Linked DNA regions of Ovis aries. The protein of the gene in region 2 purifies or fractionates together with the protein of the main gene of each other region. This does not show direct contact. Links are inferred from orthologs where the notes say so. Each region holds a gene or a part of one and is shown on either strand. Other genes may lie near its edges. The genes, in order: IKBKB, PRKCQ and CHUK.

Region 1 (8,319 bases), on a different chromosome or scaffold from region 2:
AGGAGCTCAGGGAGAACCGACCCCTGACTCCACCAGTGGGCCTCGCTGACTGACCTGCTGGAGCCCAAAGGGCAGAGGCAGGGAGGGCAGGGGCCCCAGACGGCAGGAGAGCTTGGCTTTCGGTTTGTTTTGTTAAATAAGGTTTTTGAACAGGAGAAGGAATTTGAAATAGAAGACACACACACACTCTCTCTCTCTCCGTACCTCAAGCCGAGAGAGCACACGGGGGCCCCCGGGGGTGGAGAGAGCAGACAGTGGCCCATCCTGACAGAACTCTCTCTCAAGGAAGCTGAGGTGAGGTTGTAGTGGGACGCGGGCTGGAGCCAAGACTCTGAAGGCCCCGGCCCAGGTCTGTGTGGGGCTGAGCAAGGAGCTGAGCTCCGGGAGTTGGTGGGGGACAGGGAGGCCCGGCGTGCTGCAGTCCATGGGGTCACAAAGAGTCAGACACGGCTGAGCAACTGAACTGAACTGGGGAAGGAGCTAGCTTCTTCCGTCCTGATGCCAGGGCTCTGCTGCACCCCCCTTCCCCCACAGCCATGGGGTTTGCTGGCATCGGGAGTTTCCCTGGTGACTTTGAGTAACTACCACCTGCAGGAGTCCTCTGGCCCCCACGTTCCTCTAGGGGTTGCTCCACCCACTGGGAGCTGCTCCACCCATTCAGAGCTCCATGTCTTCCAGCTGATAGGGGAGGCTGGGGGTCTGAGATGACCTCTGTTGTGACTGGCCAGAGGCCAGCATGACTCTCCCTGCTGGCTGCAGCCAGGCTCCTGGGAATCTACCATCTCTTCAAATCCAGAAAGATGCTGGAGGCCCTTCATTAAAAAGTGGGTACCTTCCCTCAAGGGCTTCAATGTGTCTGAATTTTGGGTTAAGAAGCTAGTATTAGCTATAGGGTAAGTGAGGGTTCCTCTGAGCAGAGGTCTCCAAACTGGGTATAGGCAGGGGTTACTCAAAACAGGAATCCAAAAAAAAAAAAAAAAACACACACACACAGGAAATGAAGCTCTCCCGCTATTAACCGAGCAGCACCACGCTCAGAGTGTCTGTCAGGTTGCGCGCCACTTCTGACACTCGGGGGATCCCGAGGACAACGGGCTTTCCAACAGCAGGGGCGGACAGGGGCCGGTGGGGACAGGCCGGAGGCTCCGAGCGCCCCACTTACGTAGAATTACGGACAGTATCATCCGATTTTAATATGTTCAGTTCAGCCACTCAGTCGTGCCCGACTCTTTGCAACCCCATGGACTGCAGCACGCCAGGGTTCCCTGTCCTTTACCAATTCCCAGAGTTTACTCAAAGTCATGTCCATCGAGTCAGTGATGCCATCCAACCATCTCATCCTCTGGCATCCCCTTCTCCTCCTGCCTTCAATCTTACCCAGAATAAGGGTCTTTTCCAGTGAGTCAGTTCTTCGCATCAGGTGGCCAAAGTATTGGAATTTCACCTTCAGGATCCGTCCTTCCAATGAATATTCAGGACTGATCTCCTTTAGGATGGACCGGTTGGATCTTCTTGAAGTCCAAGGGACTCTCAAGAGTCCTCTCCAATACCCAGTCCAAAAACATCAGTTCTTTGGCGCTCAGCTTTCTTTATGGTCCAACTTTCACATCCATACATGGTTACTGGAAAAACCATAGCTTTGACTAGACAGACCTTTGTTGGCAAAGTAATGTCTCTGGTTTTGAATATGTTGTCTAGGTTGGTCGTAACTTTTCTTCCAAGGAGCAAGCATCTTTTAATATCATGGCTGCAATTACTATCTGCAGTGATTTTGAAGCCCCCCAAAATAAAGTCTGACACTGTTTCCGCTGTTTGCCCATCTATTTGCCATGAAGTGATGGGACCGGATGCCATGATCTTAGTTTTCTGAATGCTGAGCTTTAAGACAACTTTTTCACTCTCCTCTTTCACTTTCATCAAGAGGCTCTTTAGTTCTTCGCTCTCTGCCGTAAGGGTAGTGTCATCTGCATATCTGAGGTTATTGATTATTTCTCCCAGCAATCTTGATTCCAGCTTGTGATTCATCTAGCCCAGCATTTCTCATGATGTACTATAAGTTAAATAGGCATGGTGACAATATACAGCCTTGATATACTCCCTTCCCAATTCGGAAACAGTCTGTTGTTCCATGTCCTGTTCTAACTGTTGCTTCCTGACCTGCATACAGATTTCTCAGGAAGCAGGTTAGGTGGTCTGGTATTCCCATCTCTTTCAGAATTTTCCTCAGTTTCTTGTGATCCACAGAGTCAAAGGCTTTGGCATAGTCAATAAAGCAGAAGTAGATGTTTTTCTGGAACTCTCTTGCTTTTTCGATGATCCAGTGAATGTTGGCAACTTGATCTCAGATTCCTCTGCCTTTTCTAAAACCAGCTTGAACATCTGCAAATTCATGGTTCATGTACTACTGAAGCCTGACTTGGAGGATTTTGAGCATTATTGTGCTAGCGTGTGAGATGAGTGTAGTTGTGCAGTAGTTTGAACATTCTTTGGCATTGCCTTTCTTTGAGATTGGAATGAAAAGTGGCCTTTTCCAGTCCTATGGCCACTGCTGAGTTTTCCAAATTTGCTGGCATATTGAGTACAGTACTTTAACAGCATCTTCTTTTAGGATCTGAAACAGCTCAACTGGAATTCCATTACCTCCACTAGCTTTGTTCATAGTGATGCTTCCTAAGGCCCACTTGACTTTTCATTCCAGGATTTTAATAAAAGGACTCTCATAAAATGGATGAGTGGCTTAAAGAGATTCTTGTGGAGAATTTCAGTGCATGTATCACCAGGACAAACAGGAATATGGAAGCCCTAATGCTTGTGGGGTGAAAAATTCACATGTCAAAGACATTAAGAAAATGATGATCTATGAGATGTAAAATTGGCCCAAAGAATTCAAATTATAAAGATTACTTGAAACGTGCATGTTCACCCACCATCCTCAACGATAATTCTCATTTTCACGTGCCTCTGTATAACTCTCACTGTGAGGTATTGCAAACAACACTGGGAAGACACCATAACTGCTAAGTATTTAAAATGGTTTTTAAATTAACTTTTAAAACATTTAAAAATGGTTTATTATTTTTACACTTAAGATTTTTCTAAAGTGTGAAAACATGTTTGCATGTTTCATAACATCTAATACATTAGTACACAATATATTCAGTTCAGTTCAGTTGCTCAGTTGTGTCCGACTCTTCGCGACCCCATGAAATGCAGCACGCCAGGCCTCCCGGTCCATTACCAGCTCCCGGAGTTCACCCAAACTCATGTCCATCGAGTCGGTGATGCCATCCAGCCATCTCATCCTCTGTCATCCCCTTCTCCTCCTGCCCCCAATCCCTCCCAGCTATCAGAGTCTTTTCCAATGAGTCAACTACACAATATATTAGTAGGTGATAATATTAGGTTAGCAAAGATATGTAATTTTAAAATATATATTTGAAGCTGAAAACTTACATTTTTTTTTTTTTTTACTATTTATTTAGGTGACATAGTCAGTAAAGCTTGGAGACCACTAACCTAGTCAGCTTAGGGGACCTGAGGCTATCTTCCCAGGCCCTTTCTCTCCCAAGAAGCCCAGGGCCAAGGTGAGCCCCATTCACAGGGTGGGTAGGGGGTGAGACTTAGTCTGCACCCCCTAACCCTGCCGCCCCCCGGCTCCTCCCAGCAGCACAGAGCCTACCTGATTGTGCCATCGGATGACGTTCCCAAATCCCCCTGTCCCAAGCCGCTCTTTCATTTCCCAGGCCCCGCATGTCTGGGTTGGCAGGGAAGGTGACCAGCTCATACTGAAGTCCTGCTAACGCTGCAAGCAATGTGGGGGGCGAGGGGGGGAACAAAAGGTGATGGTTAAGGAAAAGTGGGAAGATGGACAAGGTTAAGAGATGCCACAGCGCTTCGATGGTAAAGAAAAATCGGAACTGATTTTTCATCTCCGTACATAAAAGCAGGTGGCTGGGTCTGGTTTTCGTTTGGGCAGCAAAGTCCTGTCTTTCGCAGCCCCCCATCCACCTCACCCCGAAGCAGCAAGGGGTGGGTGGGGGTCCCGCCCAGGACAGGACGCCCCCGCACCCAGGAACTGCCAGGGGATCCCCGGGCTGCGCCCCCCGCTCCGGCGCCTCCCCGCTGGTCCCGACTAATCACCGCCGCGTTCCGGGCCCCCGCCCGGCACCACCCCGCCGGGGCCTCCCAGCCCTCCCCGCCCGGGAAGCCCCGGATTCGGGGCCGGTCACGCGCGTCTCTGGGAGCCTCGGAGACGGGGGTGCGGGTGACAGCGGGGGCGCCCGCCCGAGGCACTCACCTGGCGGCGGGGCGCGGGCGCCGCCCCGAAGACATGAACGCGCGGGGCCCTCAGAGCCTCGAGACAGGCGCCAACTTCCTCAAACACTTCCTGCTCTGACGTCACGGGGCACGTGGGTCGCGGCCTTAAAGGGGCCGCCGGCCCAGACTTCCCCGCCCCTGCCCGGTGACCGACCCTGGGGAAAACGCCCCCGTGCGCTTTAGACGTGCGACTTGTACCTGAGCGCTTTCTGGGACGGGGAAGATGGGGATTTCCTCACCTGCCCCGCAGCCCCGCCCCGGGGTCAGCCTGACCAGGCTTCCTAGACTTTAAAGTAGGGGAATTTCCCGCTCCTCCCCCACTCCCGCTCCCCCCCCTCCCCGCCCCCCCCCAGGATGGATTTAGGGACGTTTTACCAGAATTACCCTGGGGCTCTAGCTTTTCCGGCTGTAATCCCTCACCTGGTCTGGAGACTCCTGGGCTCAGATCGATAATGATAAATCACACCTGTAGTCCCTAGGCGTGACAACCTCCTCTTCCCTCTTAAAAAAAATTAAGAAGAGGGGGAGAAAATCTAATACTGTAACGCAAAACTGGAGGTTCAGCCCCAGTAACGGGCGGAAATTGTGAGACTACCTCTCGGCCTGTTAATCCTTCATCTCCGACCTCCTTGGCATCATGATTTGAGTTTATTATTGAGTTTCTCAGTTCGAGGGCAACATATTAGCAGACAAAGATTGTGTGTATGTGTGTGTGTGTATTATTACTCAAGCAAGGGTAAGGTATCAAAGGCAATCTGAAGATAATAGCTCACTTTACAGAGTGATAGAGTGCTTAGTGAGTCGGTCAGTTCAGTTCAGTGGGGTCCAACTCTGTGACCCCTTGGACTGCAGGATGCTAGACTTAGCTGTTCGTCACCAATTCCCAGAGCTTGCTCAAACTCACTTCCATCGAATCAGTGATGCCATCCACCCATCTCATCCTCTGTCATCCCCTCCTCCTCCTGCCTTCAATCTTTCCCAGCATCTGGGTCTTTTCCAGTGAGTCAGTTCTTCACATCAGGTGGCCAAAGTATTGGAGCTTCAGCTTCAGCCATCAGTCCTTCCAATGAATATTCAGGACTGACCTCCTTTAGGATGGACTTGTTGGATCTCTTTGCAGTCCAAGGGACTCTCAAGAGTCTTCTCCAACACCATGGTTCAAAAGCATCAATTCTTCGGCCCTCAGCTTTCTTTACGGTCCAATTCTCACATCCATACATGACTACTGGAAAAACCATAGTCTTGACTGCTGCTGCTGCTGCTGCTGCATCACTTCAGTCGTGTCTGACTCTGTGCGACCCAGAGACAGCAGCCCACCAGGCTTCCCCGTCCCTGGGATTCTCCAGGCAAGAACACTGGAGTGGGTTGCCATTTCCTTCTCCAGTGCATGAAAGTGAAAAGTGAAAGTGAAGTCGCTCAGTCCTGTCCAACTCCTAGTGACCCCATGGACTGCAGCCTACCAGGCTGCTCTGTCCATGGGATTTTCCAGGCAAGAGTACTGGAGTGGGATGCCATTGCCTTCTCCAGAAGTCTTGACTAGACAGACCTTTGTAAGTGGCTGACACTAAATCTGTACTTAGGTTTCCTCATCCAGTCCTCAAGGCCACCCTACAAATTGGACAGTACTGCATTATTATTATCTCCATTTTACAGATGATAAGACTGAAGCACAGAGAGAAAGTCTTCATCCCAAAGTCACAGGCTTTTAAGTGGATAATTATCTGATGTTCAAACTCCAGCAGCTGTTTTTGAGTGCAAGGTTTTAATATGTAGCTAAAAGTAGCATACTAGTAAGTTTAGAAGGATTTTAAATCCAGGGACTGCTGTTGACTACCTCTGGGACTTTAGGTATTCAGGTACCTAAAGAGTTTAGGTACTTCAAGTTACTCAGACCACCCCAAGCAGCCCGTTGCTCTTTAAAATGCAGGCAACATTGATGGGTGGACTTGGAGGGCATTATGCTTAGTGAAATACATCAGACAGAGAAAGGCAAATAGAGTATGATATCACTTCTATGAGGAATCTAAAAAAATACAACAAACTAGTGAATATAACAAAAAAGCAGCAGAATCACAGACAAAGAGAACAAACTTGTGGTTAGCACTAGGAAGAAGGAAGACGAGAGGGACATGATAGGGGTAGAATTAACAAACTACTATGTAGAGGGTAAATAAGTTATGAGGATACATTGTATAGCATGGGGAATATATCTAATATTTTGTAATAACTAAGATGCTGGGAGAGACTAGGGGCAGGAGGAGAAGGGGATGACCCAGGATGAGGTGGCTGGATGGCATCACGGACTCGATGGACGGGAGTCTGAGTGAACTCCAGGAGATGGTGATGGACAGGGAGGCCTGGCTTGCTGCGATTCATGGGGTCACAAAGAGTTGGACACGACTGAGCGACTGAACTAAACTGATGAAAAAAGTGAAAGTCACGCAGTCATGTCCGACTCTTAGTGACCCCTTGAACCATACAATCCATGGAATTCTCCAGGCCAGAATACTGGAGTGGAGAGCCTTTCCCTTCTCCAGGGGGCCTTCCCAACCCAGGGATCGAATCTAGGTCTCGATCTAGATTTGCAGGCAGATTCTTTACCAGCTGAGCCACAAGGGAAGCCCAAGAATACTGGAGTGGGTAGCCTATCCCTTCTCCAGTTGGTCTTCCTGACCCAGGAATCAAACTAGGGTCTCCTGCAGTGCAGGCTGTTTCTTTACCAACTGAGCTAGAGTATAATCTGTAAAAATTATGAATCACTATGTTGTGTACCTGAAACTAATATTGTAAATCAACTGTGGTGCTTGGTGCTAAGTTGCTTCAGTCATGTCCAACTCTTTGCGCCCCCATGGACTGTAGCCCGCCAGGCTCCTCTGTCTGTGGGATTCTCCAGGCAAGAATACTGGAGTGGATTGCTACGCCCTCCTCCAGGGGATAATTCAGAGCCAGGGATCGAACCTACATTTCCGGTGGCTCCTGAATTGCAGGCAGATTCTTTACTGCTGAGCCACTGGGAAGCCCCCAGATCAACTATACCTCGATTTTTAAAAATGTAGACAGCATAAGGTTGAATTGCATGAAATTATCATTTTTTTTAAAATAAAACGAAACCAGCTGAAACATCAGCAACAAAGATTAGCAGTTTTATGTGGTTCAGCCTGAAAACAACAGAGGGCACAAGTCAGAGATGGGAGGGGCTGGGGAGCTTGTTATGAAGACAGATGATGAGATGGTAAAAGCCGTGCCTGACAGGAACTCTGACCTGGACACAGCCTGAGTCTGGAGTTAACGCTTAGGAACAGACACCAACACGAGCAGAGGGGTCAGTGCTGCCAGGGTTGACGCAGACATGCCAGGATGCTCAGAGTTTCTGCATTTATGCTATTGCTTCTGCTAAACAACACACTTGACCTCAAAGCAGAAAGAGAAAGGAACATGCGTAAATAGTTGTAAAACATTTAGAATAGTGCCTCACATGTTTTCAGTGCAATTTGTTTCTTTAATAAATCAATTTTTAAAATAAGTTTGTTTTTATAAATAAAATTTGAACTCCTATGGGTGCTGGGCCCTAGGTAGAGTCCGACATCCCAGAAGATTTCCTTTTAATCCTGTCCTCAGAAAATCACTGTCCTTGAGAAATTTAACGAGACATCCATTGATATGCCAAAAGTTCATTCTGTGCCACTGTAATTTAAGCATTTTCATTTGCTCAGCTCAAAATAACTTTGTTTTCAGCTGAACATAAATCTCTCTGATAAGTCACATATTGCTGGATTTAAAAAAAAAAAAAAATAATGACAGCCCAGGAAGGCGTCTCTGGGTTTTATCACATCCCAAGATGTTTATCTTGTTAAACTCCTTATTCCTTCCAGATAAGATGTACTCACTGCCTACATCTGGTCTTTATCCTGTTGTAGAGATGAGTGCAGAGAAGGCAATGGCAACCCACTCCAGTACTCTTGCCTGGAAAATCCTATGGACGGAGGAGCCTGGTAGGCTGCA
Region 2 (7,780 bases):
GTGTCCTGTCTGCCCAGAGACCTAAGTTTATAAAAAAAAAACAATCAGAGAAAAATGTGTATTGAGGAAGCAGCAGCAAGCAAGGAAGAGGAAGACTTGACTGCTTTTGAAATAATCAACAAAAATGAGCATAAAACCTTATTCCACATTTTACCCACTTTTTCAAGGCCAAAAAGCATACGTGAGAAATATAACTGTCCTGATGTACTTAAAGAATGCACAGCGTTTCCTCTGATGGCACAGACACTAACATTATCTTCAAGACCTACTATGTGCCAGACATTCTGCTACAGGCTTTACACATGCTATCTAATTTTAGTACCTGTTTAATTCTTGGTTCAGAACGCTCTGCAATACAGATAGTAATAATAAAAGAAACCTAGGGTCAAAGGGTAACTATCTCAAACTCACAAAGCTACTCAGTGGAAAATCTGACTCCAAAGCTGACTTTTTCCACTCAGTTTCAGGCATCTTATAAGACAGGACACCAGACGGCTTAGAGTGGAGGGTTGCTCCAACCTGTATTCTTGCAGATGATGCAGCCACAGGCAACTGATAGAAGTGAGGGCACGGCCTGTGGAGTCAGAAAGCCACAGCTCTGGCCTCATTTCACAGACATTTACCAGCTGTGGGAATGTGGGCTCACAAAGCAACCTCCCTGGGCTTCGGTTCCCTAATGTGGAAAAGCCATAACTATCACCACACTGCTGACTTACAGGACTGTTGCGAAAATCACACACCAGGTGGGGAAGCGACTCGCGAACTCTAAAATGCTTTCTGAATGACAGTTATTGGAATCTGAAACCAGAACGAATATATGTAACAAAACAGAAGCAGACTCACGGATATAGAGAACAAACCAGTGGGTTCCAGTCGGGGGGAGGGCCAAGACAAGGGCATGGGATTAAGAGGTACGAACTGCTCTGTGTAAAATAAATAAGCAGCGGCGATATTTGAATCTCATGGTGAAACAGAGCCATTATTCTGTGATAACTTTAGAATCCAGTCTATAAAACTACTGAATCATTATGTCACAACACATCTGCCGCTAATATAATACGGTGAATCAACTATACTTCAAAACTCCCACTCATCACTTGTTTCTTTTAGTGACTTCTGAGGAATGCTGAAGTTCATGAAGACACACCAGGAGTGGAAAATGCATGTGTCTATGTTTAAAATAATACAGTGCAGACACATAGCTTTGGGGGTAGCTGGCTTGATAGAGAGGGCAGAGCTTAGATGAGAATTCAGGCATGAAGGTGAAAGTGTGAGTCACTCAGTTGTGTCCAACTCTCTGCGACCCCACAGACTGTAGCCCACCAGGCTCCTCTGTCCATGGAATTCTCCAGGTGAAAATACCAGACTCGGTAGCCATTCCCTTCTCCAGGTGATCTTCCCAACCCAGGGATCGAACCCATGTCTCCTGCCTGGCAGTCAGAATCTTTACCATCTGAGCCATCAGGGAAATAATGTGCATAACCCCAGAAAACATGCCATTTATTCTCCTGGGCCTAAAATCAATGGAGAACCAAAACAGGCTACCATTTTGGTGAGGAACCATATCTATAGAGTGAAAAAAAAAAAAAAAAAAGAAAAACAAGAACAAATTTTGGAGTTCAAGAAAAGGAAATATATTCTGCTTTGGGGCTCCCCTCTCTCACTGGGGCCCCACAGTGCAGTCCCCTCGGGGTCCAGGGATCTGGGATTCTGATGGGGAGGAGCTTAGTCACAGAGCCGAGGCTACTGAAGCTCTCAGCTGTCCATTGGGTTATTTACTAAGGCAGGTAGGTTTAACTTAAGGCTGTGTTAACCTTGTTGAGAAGTAGAAATCTACCCAGAAAACAAAGAAAAACATTTCTATAACAATTAGAAATCCTCTTTTGGTAATTGCTTCTTTCAATAAAACATTCCTCCAAACCAGCCTTAAACTAAGAAGTCGAAAAGGCAATCTCTATCTCTATAATGTCCTGTCAATTTTTGGTAACAGGCTATCATGGCACATTAATTGATGCTACATTTTAATGAAGACTGGCTGTAAAACTGCCTATTGCACTCAGAATAACACAAGTGAGCCTGCGATGGTTCGTGCTATTGTGGAAACAAACTAATAGCTATTGGCTACAGTTGGCAGGGCAGAGTGGGTTTTGCCAAAGGCGATTCCTTGGTATTAAACCCGACCCCTACTAGCAATACAAAGTCATTCAGCTATGGCAAGACCTAGGTGCATTTCATCTTGTTTATTATTAAACTGGGTAAGTTTTACAGCCCAAGTCTGGTGAGCAGGTGCTGAGCATAATGCTGGCCTTGGTTGCACAAATTCATGGAACAGTAGTCTCTGGCTAAAATTCTCCAAGAAGTGACATCCAATATAAATAAAAAAACAACTGCTGCTGCTGCTGCTGCTGAGTCGCTTCAGTCGTGTCCAACTCTGTGCGACCCCATAGACGGCAGCCCACCAGGCTCCCCCATCCCTGGGATTCTCCAGGCAAGAACACTGGAGTGGGTTGCCATATCCTTCTCCAATGCAGGAAAAGTGACAAGTGAAAGTGAAGTCACTCAGTTGTGTCCAACTCTTAGCGACCCCATGGACTGCAGCCCACCAGGCTCCTCCATCCATGGGATTTTCCAGGCAAGAGTGCTGGAGTGGGGTGCCATCGTGAGATATCCTTAATAGCCAATATAACGTAAAAGCCTGTATTCCATGACATTCCTCTTTATAATCACTGACTTGACAATCTTCTCGTCACTGATAGTTGATTATAATTTCTTAGACTATGTTTTCCTCCTCCTCCTCCTCGCCCCCCGCGATAGAGAGCCCATACGTTGAGTGAGTGGCAGGAATAATTGAGAGGAGGGACTCCTCTGTGAAACTTTTCCTAAGACACTCAAGTTATGGCTGTAATTCTGGGCTGCACTGTGTCCCTTCCAGATAATTCCATGGACAGGCTCCTCTGGAATCTTCCTGACCCAGTGATCAAGCCTAGATCTCTCGCATTGCAGGTAGATTCTTTACCATCTGAGCCGCCAGGGGAGCCTTAATAATTCATATGCTGAAGTCCTAAACCCCCAGCACCTGAGAGTGTGACCTTATTTGGAGACAGGGTCTTTACAGAGATGATTATGTTCAAATGAGGTCATTAGGATGGGCCCTGATGCCATCGAAGTGGCATCCTCATAAGAAGAGGGAATCGGGACACAGAGCAATGGCCGTGTGAGGACACAGGGAGAAGACAGCGTCTACACCCGGGAAGGAGGGAGGCCTCAGGAGGGACAGCCCTGTCCACACCTTGACCCAGGATGTCCAGCCTCCAGAACTGGGAGAGATACATTTCTGCTGTTGAAGCTGCCCTCCTCTGTGGTGTTTTATTCCAGTAGCCCTAAGCTAAGACAAGACTGAGAAAAAAATCATAAGGAAAGTAAAACCACACTCTGGGTTGAAGAAAGGAGCAAAACAACAACAAAACCACCAATGAAACAAAAATATCTATGAGACAGGAACTGGCCGGGGCACCTCCCCGCTTCATTGGCGTCCAAAGATACCACGCTCAGAAGCTGATGGGATGAACACCTTCAAAGTGAGATGGCTGGAGCTGTTTTTCCCCAGGGAGCAGAGGCTGCTGCTCCCAAGAGCTCCCTGTGCTTAGTCGCTCAGTTGTGTCCGAGGCTGTGCGACCCCGTGGACTGTAGCCTGCCAGGCTCCTCTGTCCATGGGGATTCTCCAGGCAAGAACACTGGAGCGGGTTGCCACACCCTCCTCCAGGGATCTTCCCAACCCAGGGATAGAACCCAGGTCTCTTGCTTTGCAGGCAGATTCTTTACTGTCTGAGCCACCAGGAAGCCCCTGGGTCCCTTTTGATTCAGACCTCTCTCTGCCCTCTAACATACATCACATCACATCACATCCTGGCTCCCGCCCAGGAAGCCTCTCTCTGCACACCCATGCCTCATTTTGGTCCCACCAGCTCAGTTCCACTGGCCAGAGCTTTGCTTCTCAGTTTCTGTCATCTGGCCCACAGAATCCTACATACAGTATCATACCTTGCCAAAACTTCCTTTCCCCAGCATTTTGTGCAAGGTGAAGTCCTCGATTTTTAGTTTCACACGTAGAGAACTTCTTTCTTTGTTCGGCTCAGGTTCTGGACGATCGCATGCTTTCTCCATCTCTTCCAAGGGAGACTCCCAGGAGATCCCCTGAGGCTCTGAAAATGATAAGCCAGGGGTTAAAAGGAAACAAGGAACAGCGGAGCATCTTCCTAGCTATTCTGAGAACCTGCTTTCTTTTTCATATCCTGTTCTGAAGTTTCATCCGCAACAGCTCAGAAAGGGGTTCCTGCAGGGCAAAAGGAGCACCTCCTGCCTGGAAGCCTGAAATCTGGGGGGTGGACCATGTCTCTTTATGGGACAGACTGGGGGAAATGTCAGGTTAAGAAACATTCCAACCAGCAAAAGACAGATCTCTGCAGCAGAAACAAGCACTTTAGATAATGCCAGATCATGGACATATAGGGATTTTAGCTGAACTGGAGGGAAAATGACTCCCCATTGCTTGCATGGCTTGCAGGCATAACGGCATCAATTTCTGTGACCTACCATGTAGGGAAGAAGAACTGGATAGCAGATCACTGAAGGCCCGAATGGAATCATTCACCACAGTCTTCAGGTTAAGATGCTGCCTATTTTGATTGTCTCTGAGACATGGTTTACCCAGAGACCTTTCCCAAGTCTAATCCAAACACTTCTTTAAAAAAATTTACAGACAATTTATTCCTCACCCCATGCCAGAGAAGTTGTAGACCAACTTTCCTGGAACCTTGCTCCCACCCTCTTAGAACATTTCTTTTCTTAAAGTTGAAATATACTTGACATATCACATTGTGCTAAGTTAACACGCATAACATGTTGATTGACACATTTATCTACTGTGATATCACTTGATGGCACCTCATAGCACATAATTATCCTATCCTTTTTGTGGTTGGAATTGTGTGTGTGCTCAGTCATGTCCAACTCTTTGAGACTCCATGGACTGTAGCCTGCCAGGCCTCTCTGTCCATGGAATTTTCCAAGCAAGAATACTGGAGCAGGTTACCATTTCCTGTTCCACGGGATCTTTCCCATCCAGGGACTGAAGCTGCATCTCCTGTGTCTCCTGCCTTGGCAGGAGGATTCTTTACCACTCCAGGTTTGTCTTTACCACTCTAGGTTTGTCTTGCATATTCTACGTCCAAGGAAAATAAGTATTTTATAATATATGTTGAAGCTATTCAGAATCACATGTATACATATAGCTGAGTCCCTCCGCTGTTCACCTGAAACTGTCACAACATTAATTAATTGGCTATACCTCAATACAAAATGGTTTTGGTGTTAAAAAAATAAAAATCGAGAACCACACAGTCACAACCTCTCAAAAAGCACCTTCCAACAGGAGGCTGGATGAGCTTCCATAATATCATAAAATGTTAAGGATGTTGGCTATTCTTCCCCATTCTAATCTTAAACTTTCCAGTAAAGTCTCAAAGTACAGAATAAGATGGTCTGTGGTATTTCTACCTTAGTGCTCTATGGAGGATTCAGTTTTGTAGAACAGTCAGACCATGGCAGGGAATAACATTCTAAAATTCTAAGGAAAAGTTTGCCATTATTTCTGAGAATATTGCCATTATTTCAGAGGAACCCCATCTTCTTACCCCCACCCCAACGTCCCACAACCCCATCCACTTCCAAAGCTTTTCTAGTGGGCTGTACTTTGGTTTTACTTCTAGAAGTAGAAGCCTCTTTGTGGGGGGCTAGGTCGGTAATTTCTAACTAGAAAAGAATCATTCATCAGGCCAGGTAAAAGGAGGCTTTAACCCAGAAAGTCTTAGAGAAAGTGTCAGTTGCTCTGTTGGGTCCGACTCTTTGTGACCCCGTGGACTGTAGCCCGCCAGGCTCCTCTGTCCATGAGCTTCTCCAGGCAAGAATACTTGGAGTGGGTGGCCATTCCCTTCTCCAGGGAAACCTTCCCCACACAGGGATCAAGCCCGGGTCTTCTGCATTCCAGGCAGATTCTTTACCTTCTGAGCCACCAGGGAAGTCCTGGACTCAGGTTAATGAAGATGAATTACTGATGACAATTCCACTGTGAATAGGGATAGCTACCTTTTTTCCCTGGTCCTGGTACGTACGGCGGCTTTGCTTCACCTTTTATGGAGCACGGGAGACCAATTTCAACTGGACCTTCTCTGAAGATGTGCTCAGAATCTCTTAAGCAGCGAGCCTGGGTTACAAACAAGGAGTCAGACTACCCACCTACCCACTCAACCACAGACGGGACCATGCATGCCGCTGTCCACGGTCCCGAAGCCATTTCAGATCCCTGAATACGTAGGATAACCGAACCTCTCCTCCTCAGCACTCTCTTAGGATCCCGTACCCTGTGAACGTCTATTATATTTTATGCACCAGCAGAGCGTGCTCACTTCCTTCATATTTTCTGGGGGCCCACTGGTTTTTCCCACACTCCCCACTACGCTCAGTCACAAATAGGAATCAAAGACCAATGGATGGAAAAATAGCTCAAGTAGGCAAAGCCAAGTCTTTAAGATTTCTTTTTTTTTTTTTTTTTTTTTAAGAGCGGACAATTTTTAAAGTCTTCCTTGAAGCTGTTACAATATTACTTCTGTTTTATGTTTTGGTTTTTTGGGGCAAGGCATGTGGGATCCTAGCTCCCTGACCAGGGATCAAACTCACACTTCCTGCACTGGAAGGTGAAGTCTTAACCTCTGGACCACCAGGGAAGTCCCAAAGCCAAGTCTCAAAGAGGGTTTGTTCACAGATGTGAGGATTCAGCACGCTACTGAGCGGAAAGGCAAAGCTGCCTCGGATTCAGTGTTTTGGGGGCATTTTGGAGATGATTTCAGCAAATGTTTTTCCCACCAGCTATTACATAGTCATCTTATACAGGTATAAAGCCAGCAGTGAATCCTCAATAATTTTAATGAATACATTTGTTTGTGTCCCTGCTCATTCCATGAAGAATTTAAGCTCTTACAAAGATCCACACAAGTGAAATGCATTAAACAAACATCTCAAAGTGGGGATGTGGACATGCAGATGAAAGCCAGGGTCAAGGCAAGAGCTTGGAAACAGATTCCAGATTTCCCCATACAGTTGTTACAAGTCCAAGAGTGAAGGGACTGAAATAGTCCTTGTTGAAACTGCGGGCACTTGTCCCCTAAAAGCCATTCCTACCTGCTGAGTGCTCTCGATCATTGCCAGCGCTTCAGCCATCAGCTTCTGGTTTATACCACAAAGGTTGGCCACCTTCGTCTGGCATCTGTGATGCACATTCATGCCACATGCTGAAAGAGAAGCAACGCCGTGAGCAAGGGCGACAGAACCAACTTCCAGACACTCTGAACACGATCTGTTTTGGGTGCAGGTATGTCCTACAGACAATTGGCAAACCTCCAGCACCATCTTCCCCACAGAGGGAGACGCTGAAGACAGATATTAGGGCGGTGCTCTTATTATGCCACCAAGCATCCACCTCTGCTTCACTGAGATACTCATGCACCTGGCAGGTGCCTTTTGGCATGATGCTGGGACACGACTGCTGCTCGAGGCTGAGCCAGAGCCTTGTTGATGGCAAGGAAGGCTGCCGCCCATTTGTGTGCACAAACTGAGCACAGTGATTGGCCTCCAAAAGGTGTTCACCAAATACAACTTTTCTTTCATCTTTCAAAATGTTATTGAAATATTTAGATGATACTTTAGCTGTCTTTACCTTTAGTTT
Region 3 (7,549 bases), on a different chromosome or scaffold from region 2:
TCTACAAAAGGGTTTTTTATCAGCATGATTTCTGTCCTCTTGAAGACATATGTATTTTATGTTGGGTTGATGCTCATATTCTTTGCTTGGTGTCTCACTAGTGATTCGGATGTAGGACTTCATGATCATCCTTCATTCTCTCTCCTTTCTAGTTTCCTGTTTTTATACTCCTCCCAACCCTAGACCACTGTGGTCACCCAACCAAACTTGGGGATAGATGTGCCTGGCTAATTGAAAAACCACCCCTTTGTTCAACTGGAGTTTTTTTCTCCAACTAACGTAGAATGGAAGGATGGACATCTGATTTTAGTCAGTGAAGAAAGAGGTCCAGGACAGGATAATTAGTAGGGTGTGGAGATAGTTTTGTACAGAAATACTCTGGTTGTGCCTAAAAGTAGTGATAGAAATGTGTCTTAGGAATATGAATGCATGAAGGTGCTTGCCTGTAATTTTTTTTTTTTCCTTCAGACACAGAGTTCTGCTCGGTCCCTTGTAGGATCCAGTCTAGAAGGTGTAACCCCTCAGCTGCCCCCAACTTCAGCAGAACGTGAACATCCTCTGTCATGCGTGGTAACTCCTCAAGATGGGTGGGTTCACTTTGTTACAATAGATAGTTGTGTGCTCAAGAGCAGTGGTGGGAATAAGACAGTAAAGTGGTTAAGATGTAGTCTTCACTGCCTTATAGACCAGAATTGAATCCTGATTGTCCCTTTGTAATAACCCCACACAGTTAACTTGTCTGTTTCAATGTTCACATTTCCTCACCTGTAAAATGGGAAATGCTATGAAAATTCAGCTAGACAGTATATATAAAATGCTTGGGAAGTGAATCTTCAGCAAATGTTACTTCTTCTTAGCTCAATCCAAGTTCTAAGTTCTTTTTCTATTATTGACTTATTAAACATTTTAGCCATACTTTATTCCTAAATTTATCATTTATCTCTAAGAATTTATGCTGTCTTTTTGCAGTTGTCATTTTAGGGCCTTTCACCCCCCAATGGAATTGAGTTTAATTTACTCATTTTTGGAGAAAGCAATGGCACCCCACTCCAGTACTCTTGCCTGGAAAATCCCATGGACAGAGGAGCCTGGTAGGCTGCAGTCCATGGGGTCGCTACTAGTCAGACATGACTGAGCGACTTCACTTTCACTTTTCACTTTCATGCATTGGAGAAGGAAATGGCAACCCACTCCAGTGTTCTTGCCTGGAGAATCCCAGGGACAGGGGAGCCTGGTGGGCCGCTGTCTATGGGGTCGCACAGAGTCAGACACGACTGAAGTGACTTAGCAGCAGTACTCATTTTATAACTTCAGACTTTTTTCAGTGCCTTAAATCGTTTTTGGAAACAACTCAAGTTTGAAGTCCTATACTTTCCTTTAATTCCTACTCTTCTGCTAAAAGCTGAATGACTATCCATTTCTGTTATTTTTCTCAGCATGAGATGTGCCATATCCAGAGCCAGTGGCTCTTTGCTAGCTTGTGTATTATCGCTTATTTCCTGGAAGCTCTGCCCATAACTAGTTTTCCAGAGGTGCAGCCGTGTAACATCACTGCTCAGGAGGTCAGAGCTGCACATTCTGTACTCTGCTTTTATAAGAGAAAAGCACATGGCAGGAAGGCAAGCTGATACCAGGTATTCTATCTTCTTAAAGAAAGCAAGTTCTAGGGTATATTTTAGGGTCATTATACATTTGGCCCAATGTAATACATCCACAGCTAGAGCATAGACTATAATTAGTTATATGGACTTTAGGAAATATTTCATTAATCAGAATTGATACAAATAAACTTTAATATCTTTTTGCTTTCATTAGAGACACTTGGGTTTATTAGAGAATGCAAATGGTTGCAAATGTTACCTCTATACAAGTGATTTTCAGTGTGAGGTTATGATTGTTTGCAAAAATATATTCACCAGGAATTTAAAAATATATTTTCCAAAAGGAAAACTGGTTTCAGTAATAATATACCTGTGGTACTTAACCACCAAGGACTGGGGACTGTTGACCTCAATTTTTCTATCTGTTGAATAAGCTGAATGAGAATTTAGTTCTAAGCTAACAGTGACCATCTTCCATGGCCTGGAATTGGTTCTACTGGGGTAGGGACTGAGGGTTAGTAAAAGGTAAGGATGGAGGCCATATGGAAGAGGAAAGTATAGAAGATAGAAATCAGATTCAGGATTGTCTTCAAATTTCCAAGGATACTTCTTTGTTCTTTGCAGCTCCCCGTCATAGTTTTCTTCTGCTGTCGTCAGGAATCAGCTTGCTTTTCTTTTTCATTGCTGTTATCTATATTTTCCACAGTTTTTTTCACCTTCCCTAATCTTTGCAGAAAAGATAGCTTATCTTTTCTGTCTCTTCCCCTACATTTGTGTCTCAGAAGTAAGCATGCTGATGTTTTTACTACTTGTAAGGAAAAGGAAATGTTCCAGAAACAAAAAGAGATCTTTCATCTGGCTGTGCCACAGGATCTCTTTTTCCCCGAGTGAGCATTTTCAGGGGGGAAAAGTTGTATATAAGTGCTACTTATATTTCAGAGGAAAATCAGATTGGCGTTATAGTGGACTCCTTATCATTAGAGCTGGGCAGAGGCAGCAGCCTGGAGTAACAAACAGGACTCTGCCTCTGGGTGGGAGGGATGAGCAAACTGAAGACAACAGGAATCAGCTGTGTTGGGTTGCTGGGTTGTGGTGTTGTAGCAAGAGCAGTATCATCCTGACCCTGAAAATCAGAAAGTAGAGGAAATTCATATGCCCTTTTGCTTTCATTCGACAGGGAGACTTTAGCACAAATGATAGAAGAAAATTTGAACTGTCTTGGCCATTTAAGCACTATTATTCATGAAGCAAATGAAAAACAGGGCAACAGTATGATGGTAAGTTTTATATGAATATGGATGTGTGTTTTAAGTGTGTTGGGTGCAAAGGGCTTAACTTTCCATGCTGGACTTATCTGGTGTTTGGGATTCAGTTGGGGAATAGAACTCAGAGCAAACAGCATTTGAGGAATGCTTAACCTCAACTCCCCATCTTCTCTTACTCATGGATATACTAGGATTATACCATCAGTAATCTTTAATAGCATTTTTGGTCAAGTTAAATGATTGGTGAGCTTTCTTTGCAGTGTGACCACTGAAATCAAATGGTCTGTACTTTTTTGCTTCTGCAGTCAGTTTTCCCCAGTAAGATGGGGCATAATTTGTACTGTACTTCAAATATAGTAACTGTTGTGTGCAAAATGAATAATGTTAATATGGTTATTAACAGAAGTGTTTTTATGAAGATTTGATTGCTATGAATTACTGATTTGTTAAAACTTGGCGAAACTACAATAAAATATTTACTGAATTAACTTTTACTATGTTTAGTCTTGATATTAATTCTTTGTTTATTCCTCTTTCATTATTTGCTTCAAATATCTGAAAACTCTTTGAAAATTTTTTTTTGTTAGTAGAAATTAAGGTAAACTAGACTCTTTAATTGTAACTTATTTGTATTTTTGGTTTTTCAACTTTTGATTATAAAATCTCCAAATAAACAGAAAACTTGCAAAAATGAACACCCATATACCTACTGCTTAGAGTCAACATCTAATGGTAACTTTTTCATGCCTGGTTTTAGAGTCTTGATTGGAGTTGGTTAACAGAATGACTTGCCACTTAGTGACTCTCCTGAAACCTATGAAGTTGTTGCTGCACATGTTAGACATTTGTTTTTCTCCTATGAAGCCATTCTTCAAATACCAGTCAATGGAAGAAATGACTATGATCAGAAACTCCACATGATTTTACAGCATAATATTTTGATTCTGGGTAATTTTAACTTCTGAACAGATAGAATTTTATGAGTCGGTGGACTTAAATCCATTTGTCTTCAAACTTGGTAAAACATTACTTATTTAACTGATTCTTTCAACATTTAACTTTTGGGCATAAGGCCAAAATAATGTATACAGAGAAGAAAATCTCAACATGTATTCTAAGTAAAAAGTGTTTGCCTATGTTTCTGTGGAAGAGACTGCTTGTGTTGTACTTGTGTTGCACTTAACAGTGCTCTTCCCAGCCTCATAAGAGAGTTTAATCCCATTTTCCATTTTACTGTACATTTGATTGTATCCCTTTCCTATGAAAGGGATTGTGCATTTGTGCCTTTAATACCAATTGATTCTTCCAAATGTTAAGTGTGCTATATGTATATGTATTTAAGATGTACATTTAATAATATCAAAGAGAAGATACCTGTTAATTTATAATGTATTTGAAAGCTTATCTGTTTTCATTTGTAAAAATGGGTCTTTTCAGGAATCTTTCATGTCTTGTCATACAAATTTATAAAGATCTGCATTCTTTATCTATAATTCCAAAATCCAAAAATCTTTGAAAACAAGATTTTTCATAAAATTGATGACAAAATTCATCTGCTTGCACATCCAACAAGAATTGACAGTGAGTCTACTTATCCCATTTAGTGTGAATATTCTTTTCTTTTGCTGCAGAAATATTACTGTATTTGATTATTAGGGGGAAGGGTGCTGGCACAGACCCTGCCTGAGGTTTATGTAGTATGGTATATGCACTGAATTACCTTTCTAAAATCTGAAAATTTCATAATTCTGAAGCATCTGTCCCCAAGGGTTTCAAGACTAGATTGGGTTGCCTTCAAGATGGTATGGCCGCAGACAGGGTTTCAGATAAAGGATTGTGGATCTATTGTCTATTAAATAATTTAGAAGGTATTACTTGTTTTAAAAATGTGAAATGCTTTTGTATTCTAGACAGTTTTTCACTTTGTATATTAAACAATTTTTAAATTACTTTCTGAATCTCTATTCATTAAAACCAGACTGTAGCAGAATAATTGAATATGCTTTGAGAAAATGTGAAGGTTCCATGAAGCAAAGTTGGAGCACAGAGTAACATAACAGGCTTTTAGTGTACTTAGGAATGAAACAGACTTACGGTAAAGGCAGTATTGGGTAGCTTCTTTAATATAGTCTTTTCTCCTGAGATGGCCTGTCATCACTATCTGTTTCTAAAAACTATGCTTATACCATGTCCTAAAAACTGCTGTCTTAGTTACACCATCCCCATTTTTGCTAATAGTGTCATTTTTCCAGTCATCTCAGTTTGAGACCTTGGGATTGTCTTCGCCTAACTTTTTAGTCAACTGCTACTACTGTTTCTCTGAATATGGACATTCTGGCTACCAGCCATTAAAACTGGCTGTCTCTCTCTTGCTTCTTCCAGTTCTAGAAGGTTTTAATCAGTAAACATTTATTGGGTGCCTGTTGCTTGGAAGAAACTGAGCAAAATGGGAAGATCAGAAAAATTAACACAGGCAGTACAATAAGAGTGTTTATTTGGAATGAAATTATTGTTAAAGGCTTTTTGAAATGAGCATTTTCTAAATATCATTATAATAACTGATAAAAGACCTGGTATAGGGTGGGACTATTTTTATGGTTTGTGGCTGATACCACCTCAGGAGAGCCTGATCTGTATGATATAGGCAAGTGGTATGAGTCAGAACAGCCTATTACAGTGAGATCACCTCAGATATGCTTTTGATACATGAGTTGACCACTCTATTTGTTATTTGTTGACAGTTTTCAGAGTTGAATTTCAATTGTGGATTATATCTATTTCATTCAAGCAATACTATGAAAAACTAAAATAATTCATCCAGAAAACAGAAGTAAACGAGTTATTTTTCATTCGTTTTGCTTTTTGTAGGTCAAAATAGCTAAGCTCTGCAACAAACATTTATCTAGTACAGACAAGGTCCCATATATTCTTAGGTGTAAAAGTCAAAGGGATGATCCAGGTAAGTGCATTTATTGAAGGGAAAAGGTAAAGTTGTTTGGGAGGGCTTGCTTTAATGAAGATTTGAATTGATTCTATTACCTCTTTCCATTTCCACCAGTTACAACTACTGAAACTTTGGGCCTGCAGTTTACTAACCACTTGGCTTCCCTGTCTCCTGTCTCCACTCCGAGCTATTCTGTAGACTTACTGACCCAGAAGCACTGCTTTCTCATACTTCCCTACCTAAGAGATTACAGAGCTCTCCAACTTTAGTCTATTTGTGGTCCCACTGCTAGTCTTTCAAAGCTTGTGTGACTAATGCCCAACCTCTTCTAATATGCTGCCCTAATTTCCCTTATATTCATCTATCTCACTCCTATCTTTACTCTTTCACTAAAAGCAGAGACATCACTTTGCTGACAAAGGTCCATGTAGTCAAAGCTATGGTTTTTCAGTAGTCTTGTACCAATGTGAGAATTGGACCATGAAGATGAGCATCAAAGAACTGATGCTCTCAATTACGGTACTGGAGGACACTCTTGAGAGTCCCTTGGACAACAAGGAGAGCAAACCAGTCTAGTCCTAAAGGAAATCAACCCTGAATACTTACTGGAAGGACTGATGCTGAAGGTGAAGCTCCAATACTTTGGCCACCTGATGTGAAGAACTGGCTCATTGGAAAAGACCCTGATGCTGGGAAAGATGGAGGGTAGGAGAAGGGGGAGACGGAGGATTAGATGGCTGGATAGTATCAGACTCAATGAATAAGAGTTTGAGCAAGCTCCGGGGGATAGTGAAGACAGGGAAGTCTGGCATCCAGTCCATGGGGTCGCAGAGTCAGACACTACTTAGTGACTAAATAACAATGAATAACTTAAAAGGGCAGAAAAGTATTTAGTGAAAAGAAAGTATGTCTTTATTCTCTGCTGCTAAGTCGCTTCAGTCGTGTCCAACTCTGTGCGACCCCATAGACGGCAGCCCACCAGGCTCCCCCGTCCCTGGGATTCTCCAGGCAAGAACACTGAAGTGGGTTGCCATTCCCTTCTCCAATGCATGAAAGTGAAAAGTGAAAGTGAAGTCGCTCAGCCGTGTCTGACCCTCAGCGACCCCATGGACTGCAGCCTTCCAGGCTCCTCCATCCATGGGATTTTCCAGGCAAGAGTACTGGAGTGGGGTGCCATTGCTTTCTCCGGGTTTATTCTCTAGCCATCCAATTTCCCCTCCCTGCAGAAAAGCACTGTTTTAGGGCCTTTCAAAATCAGGGCCTAGCCTAATATCCCACTCCTTTCCAACACAGAGGCTTCAAGGAAGTTCAAACGCTCACTGTTCGTAGTCTTCCTGAAGGACCCTCCCAACACACACCCACGTTTGCGTGCTTATTAGTTCATTCGGTTCTTACTGCTTGGATGGCCTTCATAAAGCCCTCACTGGATCAGCATTCTAGCACGTTAATAGATGTCTTTGCACAAGGACAAACTGACCACTAAGGGATGTCTCAGATGCCTTCTTTCCTCTGCCCCTTTGCTTACTTCCAATACCCCACTTCCCTTTTCTTCCGGAGCAGGAAACCAAAAGCACACAGAGAAGACCCTACGCACCTTCGCGCGAATCTCTTGGCGGGCGGCTTGGAGAATTTTGTCCCATTCGCTCCCCGTCTCTAGTCGCAGGGCGCGGCGTCGGCGTGCGTGTCCGCGCAGCCGCATTGCCCCGCGGGTGGGCGGGGCCGGCTGTTGGCGGCGGTTG

What was found.
Region 1: the proteins of PRKCQ (region 2) and IKBKB purify together in Homo sapiens (affinity purification with western blotting; 4 studies listed by BioGRID). This does not show direct contact. The link is inferred for Ovis aries from reciprocal best matches to the Homo sapiens genes PRKCQ and IKBKB.
Region 3: the proteins of PRKCQ (region 2) and CHUK purify together in Homo sapiens (affinity purification with western blotting, with the first as the bait; 3 studies listed by BioGRID). This does not show direct contact. The link is inferred for Ovis aries from reciprocal best matches to the Homo sapiens genes PRKCQ and CHUK.

What each region holds. Positions count from the first base shown.
Region 1 is NC_056079.1:36,450,147-36,458,465, reverse strand, and holds the start of IKBKB (inhibitor of nuclear factor kappa-B kinase subunit beta), read right to left. Parts: upstream 4,401-8,319; 5' UTR 4,298-4,400; intron 3,803-4,297; 5' UTR 3,785-3,802; coding exon 3,680-3,784; intron 1-3,679.
Region 2 is NC_056066.1:11,280,898-11,288,677, forward strand, and holds part of PRKCQ (protein kinase C theta type), read right to left. Parts: intron 7,347-7,780; coding exon 7,237-7,346; intron 6,263-7,236; coding exon 6,145-6,262; intron 4,203-6,144; coding exon 4,042-4,202; intron 1-4,041. UniProt on the Homo sapiens protein: Calcium-independent, phospholipid- and diacylglycerol (DAG)-dependent serine/threonine-protein kinase that mediates non-redundant functions in T-cell receptor (TCR) signaling, including T-cells activation, proliferation, differentiation and survival, by mediating activation of multiple transcription factors such as NF-kappa-B, JUN, NFATC1 and NFATC2.
Region 3 is NC_056075.1:20,873,788-20,881,336, reverse strand, and holds the end of CHUK (inhibitor of nuclear factor kappa-B kinase subunit alpha), read left to right. Parts: exon of another isoform or gene 1-468; coding exon 469-587; exon of another isoform or gene 588-2,724; intron 2,725-2,778; coding exon 2,779-2,878; intron 2,879-3,623; coding exon 3,624-3,653; 3' UTR 3,654-4,815; downstream 4,816-7,549.